Linked DNA regions of Cricetulus griseus. The protein of the gene in region 1 purifies or fractionates together with the protein of each later gene. This does not show direct contact. Links are inferred from orthologs where the notes say so. Each region holds a gene or a part of one and is shown in the gene's direction. Other genes may lie near its edges. The genes, in order: Retreg3 and Reep4.

Region 1 (3,814 bases):
TGTCTGATATGCAGGGTGTCTGATATGCAGGGTGTCTGATATGCAGGGTGTCTGATATGCAGGGTATCTGATATGCAGGGTATCTGATATGCAGGGTATCTGATATGCAGGGTGTCTGATATGCAGGGTATCTGATATGCAGGGTATCTGATATGCAGGGTATCTGATATGCAGGGTGTCTGATATGCAGGGTGTCTGATATATGCAGGGTATCTGATATATGCAGGGTATCTGATATATGCAGGGTATCTGATATGCAGGGTGTCTGATATATGCAGGGTATCTGATATATGCAGGGTATCTGATATATGCAGGGTATCTGATATATGCAGGGTATCTGATATATGCAGGGTATCTGATATATGCAGGGTATCTGATATATGCAGGGTGTCTGATATGCAGGGTGTCTGATATGCAGGGTGTCTGATATGCAGGGTGTCTGATATGCAGGGTGTCTGATATGCAGGGTATCTGATATGCAGGGTGTCTGATATGCAGGGTGTCTGATATGCAGGGTGTCTGATATGCAGGGTGTCTGATATGCAGGGTGTCTGATATGCAGGGTGTCTGATATGCAGGGTATCTGATATGCAGGGTATCTGATATGCAGGGTGTCTGATATGCAGGGTGTCTGATATGCAGGGTGTCTGATATGCAGGGTATCTGATATGCAGGGTGTCTGATATGCAGGGTGTCTGATATGCAGGGTGTCTGATATGCAGGGTGTCTGATATGCAGGGTGTCTGATATGCAGGGTATCTGATATGCAGGGTGTCTGATATGCAGGGTGTCTGATATGCAGGGTGTCTGATATGCAGGGTGTCTGATATGCAGGGTATCTGATATGCAGGGTGTCTGATATGCAGGGTGTCTGATATGCAGGGTGTCTGATATGCAGGGTGTCTGATATGCAGGGTGTCTGATATGCAGGGTGTCTGATATGCAGGGTGTCTGATATGCAGGGTGTCTGATATGCAGGGTGTCTGATATGCAGGGTGTCTGATATGCAGGGTGTCTGATATGCAGGGTGTCTGATATGCAGGGTGTCTGATATGCAGGGTGTCTGATATGCAGGGTGTCTGATATGCAGGGTGTCTGATATATGCAGGGTGTCTGATATGCAGCTGCTGAGAAAGGACCCACAGGTTGAGAACTGCTGGCCTAGGAAGAGCATCATTATATTTCAGTTCTCCAACAATTACTTCTTTTCATATACTCAGGACATGATCGGTATCATTAAACGTCTTTTCACGTGGAACTGATATTCCACATATAAGGCATAAACTCCATTTCCTTTTGGGGAGCTTGCAGTACTGGGGAACCCAGCCCAGCATGCCATGCATATTAAGCAAGTGTTGTGCCACTGATATATATCCCTGGCCCATCTTACCAAGGTGTAGACATTGATGATTGTTCACTAATGTACATGGTGTCCCATCCTGAAGGACCGCCTCTGTTTATGGAGCTTTCCAGACAGTTCTGAGGTTCCTTCTCTGTGTTCACTCTGGAGGACTTTTCCTGTAATGTAGTTACTTTGTACTGGCATGTACTGTTGGAGGCTGGAAGAAATTAGTTCCAGGTGTTTTATTTTATCTCCATCCATCCATCCATCCATCCATCCATCCATCCCGGAACTCATGTAGTGCAGGCGTGCCTTGAACTCACAGAAATCCACCTGCCTCTGCCTCCTGCACACTGGAATTAAAGGTGTGTGCTGTCATGTTGGACATCTACGTGTACTATTTTTTATACATAATTTATCTCAGAATCACATGACTGTTACCATCATTTTGTTCCATATGTCCACACTTCCTAGCTCTGTCCCTGGGCTGTCTGTGGCTTATTATATTATGCATAGCCATGACCTGTACCTTGTGGATGGCTACAGTAGTCCCTGCTCTCAAAACTGTATAATGGGGGTCATTAGTGGAGGTGACCTGCAGAAATAACTAGAATTTTCTGCAGTATCTTGAGTCCTAGGGACACAATAGTGGAGGGGTAGGTAGGATTGCTTTGTGTGATCTCTATTTTCCTACTGTTCCACTCTCCTCAGTTGTCACTGTTATGATGTGGCCTCTGGCTGTATATCACCGACTATGGGATCGAGCCTATGTGCGACTGAAGCCAGCTCTGCAGCGGCTGGACTTCAGTGTCCGTGGCTACATGATGTCCAAGCAGAGAGAAAGACAATGTAAGTGTTATGGGGTGGCTTTCTTCTACCTGACACTTTGAGAAAGTGGAGAAGCCAGGTGTCACATACTGGCCAAGTGTTAAAAGTGGGAGGAATAGGGTCCATGAGATGACTTAGCAGGTAAAGGTGCTTGCCACCAAGCCTGATGACCTGAGTTTAATACGAGAGACCTTTGTGATGGAAGGAGAAACACACACACACACACACACACACACACACACACACACACACACACAAAGTTGTGCTCTGACTTCCACAGGTGTTACCATTTCACATGTATACAGAAACAACAGATAAAAGTAATTTTAAAAATTTCAAGAAGTTTCAAGAAGTAGGGAGGGGGTAGTTGGTAGAAATCCTGGGTGGTAAGGAAGTATAGTATCCTATTTCTGAGAAACTTAGGCAGGCTTGCCAGTTTTTCTCACTTAGGCTCCCATTTTAAACCAATCTGAGAAAAACTCCAAGTTGAGTAAAAGACATCAAAGATGTTCATAGTCCACCTGCTTTTATGAAACACCTTCCAAGTGTCCGAGCCCTGTATTGACTGCTTTTGTACACTGTAAAAAACATTTACACTGAGTAAATGTTAATGTAGGGTTTTGCACTTTTTTGGTTTTTCAAGACAAGTTTCTCTGTGTAGCCTTGGCTGTCCTAGAACTCACTCTGTAGTTCGGGCTGGTCTCAAACTCACAGGGATCTGCCTGCCTCTGCCTCCCGAGTACTGAGATTAAAGGTGTGTGCCACCATGGCCCAGCAGGTTTTTGTACCTTAAGCCTCTTTCAATTAATGAAAGCTGTCTGCTAAAGTGGATTGAAAACAGCTACCATAGATGCCACAAGTGCACTACTAGCCTGAGGCTACATAACACAAAGAGGGTATCGTAAACTTGTCCCTCTCTTTGGTTTACCAGTTTGGGTGTTTCATTAAGCCCTGGCCTTCAAAGAGTCCCATATGTGGTCACCATCTTCATCTGGGCTTCATCAACCAGTTGAAAAATACCAGTCATTAAAAGCCTTGTTTAACCAACATGAGTGCCTCCCTTCTTCCTATGACTGTTCCCACTTGTACCACTTTGCTTTGTATTTGCCCCTAGCAGATCCTCAGAGTTCCTGGGTGGTTTGGTAGTTTATCGTCTAGCCAGAATCTAGAATGTGTAGGGCTTGGACAAAGGAAGGATGTTGGAGGAAAGATGTAGTTTCATGAGTTACTACTCAGCCTCAGTATTCTTACCTTTAGACATTGCTATGCAGACTTAGGGCTATATTTAGAGGGCCTCTTCTTGTGTCATGATGTTTTTGGAGTCCAAAGGAGATTTTCCCTTGAAGCCATCAAGGTCTTCTGCTCTTTCCACATAGTGCGCCGGAGAGCTCTACACCCAGAACGTGCCCTGAACAACCACAGTGACAGTGAAGAGGAGCTTGCCGCCTTCTGTCCTCAGGTATCTTGTGTGGGGAAGCGGCTCTACTGGCCTGTTTTCTTAATTCTTCTTTATCTGTCTAGCTGCTCACATTTAGATGGTAACTAGGTTTTAAGCCCGTCAAGGACCCTCGATTCCCCTTACTCTCTTCTCAATAGCAGCACTGAGGAGAGAACCTGCTACTGTATGGGCCTGGTGAACAGCAC
Region 2 (4,248 bases), on another chromosome or scaffold:
CCCTCCCCTCAAATCAATCAATCAAACAAAAACTGTCTCGAAAACCAAGATAATTATAATGATGATAATGATGATAAAATACCCAAGTTTTGGCCGGGCGTTGGTGGCGCACGCCTTTTTATTTTTATTTATTTATTTATTTAATTTTTATTTATTTATTTATTTTTATTTATTTAATATTTTCAAGTATTATACCTTTCCGGTATGGCCAACCTCTTAAGAAGAATCTTTAATAACTCCACCATCTCACACAACAAAAAAATACATGAGCACGAAAGCACTGCACAAAATAGCAAGTGATGGTTTTAGAACTTTCTGTGAAGTTTGTATCCTTCATTCAGACACAGATAGAATTCCAAATTTCTGGTAAAGAAGACATGGGTGAGTCTGGATCTTCATTCAATCTCTCAGGACACTAGGGTCAATGTGTGCCCAGATGTATGGATCTGCTTTAGAGAGAAGTGGAACCCCTGGGAGGATGCCTCCCCGACTCCACTCTTGACCATTAGGATGGAGGGATCAGCCAAGCCTACTTCCAGCTGGCACCGGAGTCTCCCGCTGGACGCATTCATTTCATGCTCATTCATTCATTCATTCATTCATTCATTGGTTTTTCGAGACAGGGCATCTCTGTGTAGTTTTGGAGCCTGTCCGGGAACTCGTTCTGTGGACCAGGCTGGCCTCGAACCCACAGAGATCCTTGTGCCTCTGCCTCCCAAGTGCGAAAATTAAAGGCGTGCGCCACCACCGCCCGGCTCATTTCACGCTTTATCTCATTCTACAGACAGGCAGAACAGGATATCGGGAGACTCCAATACAATTTGTTTTTTCTTTCATTATGAACTTCTTTCCTTTTGTTTGTTTGCAACATTGTCTTGATATATCTGTAGCCCAGCCTGAACCGATAATTCTCCTGCCTCAGACTCAGGGGTTCATGTGAGCGCCACCACATTTAGCTAGGAGTCCGGGTTGTTTTTGTTCTCTGTGTCTTTCCGTTGTGACTTTCCACCTGCTAACCTTTCAGACCTGGAACACTATTTGACCCGTGGCCCCACTTCGGCGCTGCGAGCAGCATCGCCGCTTTAAGGGACCGGCCTTTTGTCTCCACGACCTCGCCCCGCCCCTCTGGAGGCTTCGTTGCGCCTGCGCCTTGAGCTTGAGCACCGGGGTTGGGCAAAACCAGGTTCCGTGCAACTTTCAAGTGAGTTACAAACTCCGCCCCGGACACTGGTGCAGGTGGTCTGTCGCCCCGAACCCTGACGGTCCGTGAGAGCGGAGATCGGGACCTGCTTCCCCGACACGGGGCTAGCAGCGGCGCCCCCAACGGACGAACGCGCGGTGTTCCTTGGCAGGACTTGTTGGACTGAGCCGCAAGGATTCCGCGGCGAGGGGCGGAGGAACGCGCCCGCCTCCCCGCTCCCTAGTCGTCTTCCTCTTCAAGGCCCTACGTCCACTGGTTCCTGGTTCTCCAGGCTCCTCGCACTGTGGGGTCGGAGTCGGGGTGGTGGTCTCTGCGTACGCGAGGGACACTTGTACTGCAGCGCCACTCGGCTCTTTGCCCCAGCTCCTGAGTGCAGCGTCCCTCCAGTTGTCTCTTGGGGGTCATCCCCAAGGCTGTCAGGATGGTGTCCTGGATGATCTGTCGTCTGGTGGTGTGAGTATGGCCCCTGTGAGACCCCTCTGATTCCCGGTGCCAGCCTGCCTTTGGGGTGGAAACTGGGAACGTTTGGTAAAGGAGAGAATTTTCTGAACTCCATCAGCCTTCCCCTATCACACGCTTAACGGTCCTGGAGGTCTGAAGTGGGACCTGATCAATGAATGCCTTTCTCCCAAGCCGCATCTTTCTAAAGGCTGATTGGGACCCTTCCGACATGCGCACACCCTGCAGACAGGTGCAGGCAGGGCTCGCTCAGGCTTTGCTACCCACAACCCCGTGAGAAGGTGATAGGCGCAGCTGTGGGCGGAGAATCCAGATTCCTCCTTCCCATCTGAGCAGCCATATAACCCATCACCCACTCCCCGGCTTTGGCCTCTTAAGTCTACCCCTCACTTTTGGATATTCCAACACCTGGCTCAAATGTCTCTCTCTGCAACCTGGTGGCCCTGGGCCAGTCTGTGTGTAGTGGAAGGGTACAGCCTGGTGCTCTCACTCACCTCGTTGTGTGTTCTCTGTCTATCCTGTACCCATGGGCCACCAGTGCAGGCCTGAGCAGGCTTGGGATGTTTGTAAACAGCTGGGTGGGGAGGCGGCCTCCAGGGCACTGACTCAGGCACCTTGGGTTGTGCAAGCCAAGCGGGAAAAACAGGGCAGGCACTGCCACCTCGAGCCCAGTTTGGGGGAATCAGCCATCTGGCAGAGACAGGGTGGGGCATAGTGCCCCTCACACTTCCCATGGCTGCTGTTCCAGGCTCGTATTTGGGATGCTGTATCCTGCATATGCTTCCTACAAGGCTGTGAAGAGCAAAAACATTCGAGAATATGTGAGTGCCAAGGGTTGGCGGGAAAGCTTAACTAATGTTGTTGATCTTGAGGAGCAGTCAGGGAGGGGTGATAAGACTTGGTGATATGGAAGCGGCTGAGCTGGCCTCTCAGACTCCAGGGCCTTGATGGTGTGGCAGCTCTTGGGTAGAATGGTCAAGTAAGTGTGAAAGGAGGGCCAGCCATTAGCATGCCCATGGAGGACCTCGTGGGTGAAGCATGCTGGGGTGAAAGGCACTGGAATTCATTCACTGGAATGAAAGGCAGTTTCTCAGGGGCTCCTTTCTACGCAGACATGGGGAAATGCAGCAATGCTGTGGGACTGGCTCTCAGGAATCTCTGGGTTGGGCCAGCCGGGGGGTGGGCGTTGGCACCTCAGGCTCCCAAGCTGAGCTCTGTGCACTCCGACCCACAGGTCCGGTGGATGATGTACTGGATTGTCTTTGCAATCTTCATGGCCGCAGAGACCTTCACAGATGTCTTCATTTCCTGGTTTGGCACAGGATTGGCAGGCCATGGGTTGGGAAGGCCTACCCACTACCTCGCACCTGGCTCACAGACACCTCTCCCCGTGCTCCCGCAGGTTCCCTTTTTACTATGAGATCAAGATGGCCTTCGTGCTATGGCTGCTCTCACCTTACACCAAGGGAGCTAGCCTGCTTTACCGAAAGTTTGTCCACCCGTCCCTATCCCGCCATGAGAAGGTACCCCTGGGGGAGATAGAGAAGGAACACCAGAAGGGTGTGTCAGGGAGAGCCCTGTATCTCAGGTTCAGGGAGCCAGAGATACCTGGGTCTCATTTCCTGTCCCACTTGCTGTGGGACTGTGAAAGGGGTTGGCTTCCCTCATGTGAATGAACTTCAGGGGTGTGACATGCCAGCAGGAAGTTGATGTGGGCATGGGAAAATTGAAGGGACACTCACTGAGGTGTGGAGTAGGTGTTGTGGGTGGGGAACCCTGCTCTTAGTTTTTGTTCTGAGCTTCTGTCTGTGGCTCCTGGGTCCTAGGTAAGAGTGGGCAAGGGATTATGACAGCCAGTAGCTTCTTGGGGTCTGCGGAGAAATGGCTCCTTTGTTGATCTGAGCTCTCTACTCTGGTTCTGCAGGAGATCGATGCATGCATTGTGCAGGCAAAGGAGCGCAGCTATGAGACCATGCTCAGTTTCGGGAAGCGGAGCCTCAACATCGCGGCCTCAGCTGCTGTGCAGGCTGCTACCAAGGTGCTCTGGGTCCCAGTGCTCACAGCGGCAGCCCCACTCCCAGTACCTTTGAGCCAGTCCAGTTCTGAATCTTGTGCCCTAGTGATTAGCTACAGACCAGCTTTCCTGCTAAAGCCCTTCCCCCGTAGCCCTCTTCTGCAATTAATATAGTGCCCCCCCCATCCCTCACCTCCCAGAGTCAGGGTGCTCTAGCTGGAAGACTACGGAGCTTCTCCATGCAAGACCTCCGCTCTATCCCTGACACCCCTGCTCCCACCTACCAAGATCCCCTCTACCTGGAAGATCAGATACCCCGACGCAGACCCCCGATTGGTAAGTGGAAAAGGAATCCAAAGCTGACTTGGGAAGGTCTGCCTCTCTGAGGGCTAGAGGGGAAGCTGAGAGTGACCCCGGGTTTGTATAAATGTTCAGCTTTGCTCTCACTACCCTTTCTTCACAGGGTACCGGCCAGGCGGCCTGCAAGATAGTGACACAGAGGATGAGTGTTGGTCAGACAATGAGATAACCCCCCAGCCAACTGTCCGGCCCCGAGAGAAGCCTCTGGGCCGCA

Evidence for each region.
Region 2: the proteins of Retreg3 (region 1) and Reep4 purify together in Homo sapiens (affinity purification with mass spectrometry; 3 studies listed by BioGRID and IntAct, with this or other methods). This does not show direct contact. The link is inferred for Cricetulus griseus from reciprocal best matches to the Homo sapiens genes RETREG3 and REEP4.

Annotation. Positions count from the first base shown.
Region 1 is NC_048600.1:114,143,939-114,147,752, reverse strand, and holds part of Retreg3 (reticulophagy regulator 3), read left to right. Parts: intron 1-2,053; coding exon 2,054-2,191; intron 2,192-3,546; coding exon 3,547-3,629; intron 3,630-3,814. UniProt on the Homo sapiens protein: Endoplasmic reticulum (ER)-anchored autophagy regulator which exists in an inactive state under basal conditions but is activated following cellular stress.
Region 2 is NW_023276807.1:225,190,185-225,194,432, forward strand, and holds the start of Reep4 (receptor expression-enhancing protein 4), read left to right. Parts: upstream 1-1,166; 5' UTR 1,167-1,622; coding exon 1,623-1,654; intron 1,655-2,408; coding exon 2,409-2,481; intron 2,482-2,894; coding exon 2,895-2,971; intron 2,972-3,062; coding exon 3,063-3,183; intron 3,184-3,584; coding exon 3,585-3,698; intron 3,699-3,874; coding exon 3,875-4,010; intron 4,011-4,137; coding exon 4,138-4,248. UniProt on the Homo sapiens protein: Microtubule-binding protein required to ensure proper cell division and nuclear envelope reassembly by sequestering the endoplasmic reticulum away from chromosomes during mitosis.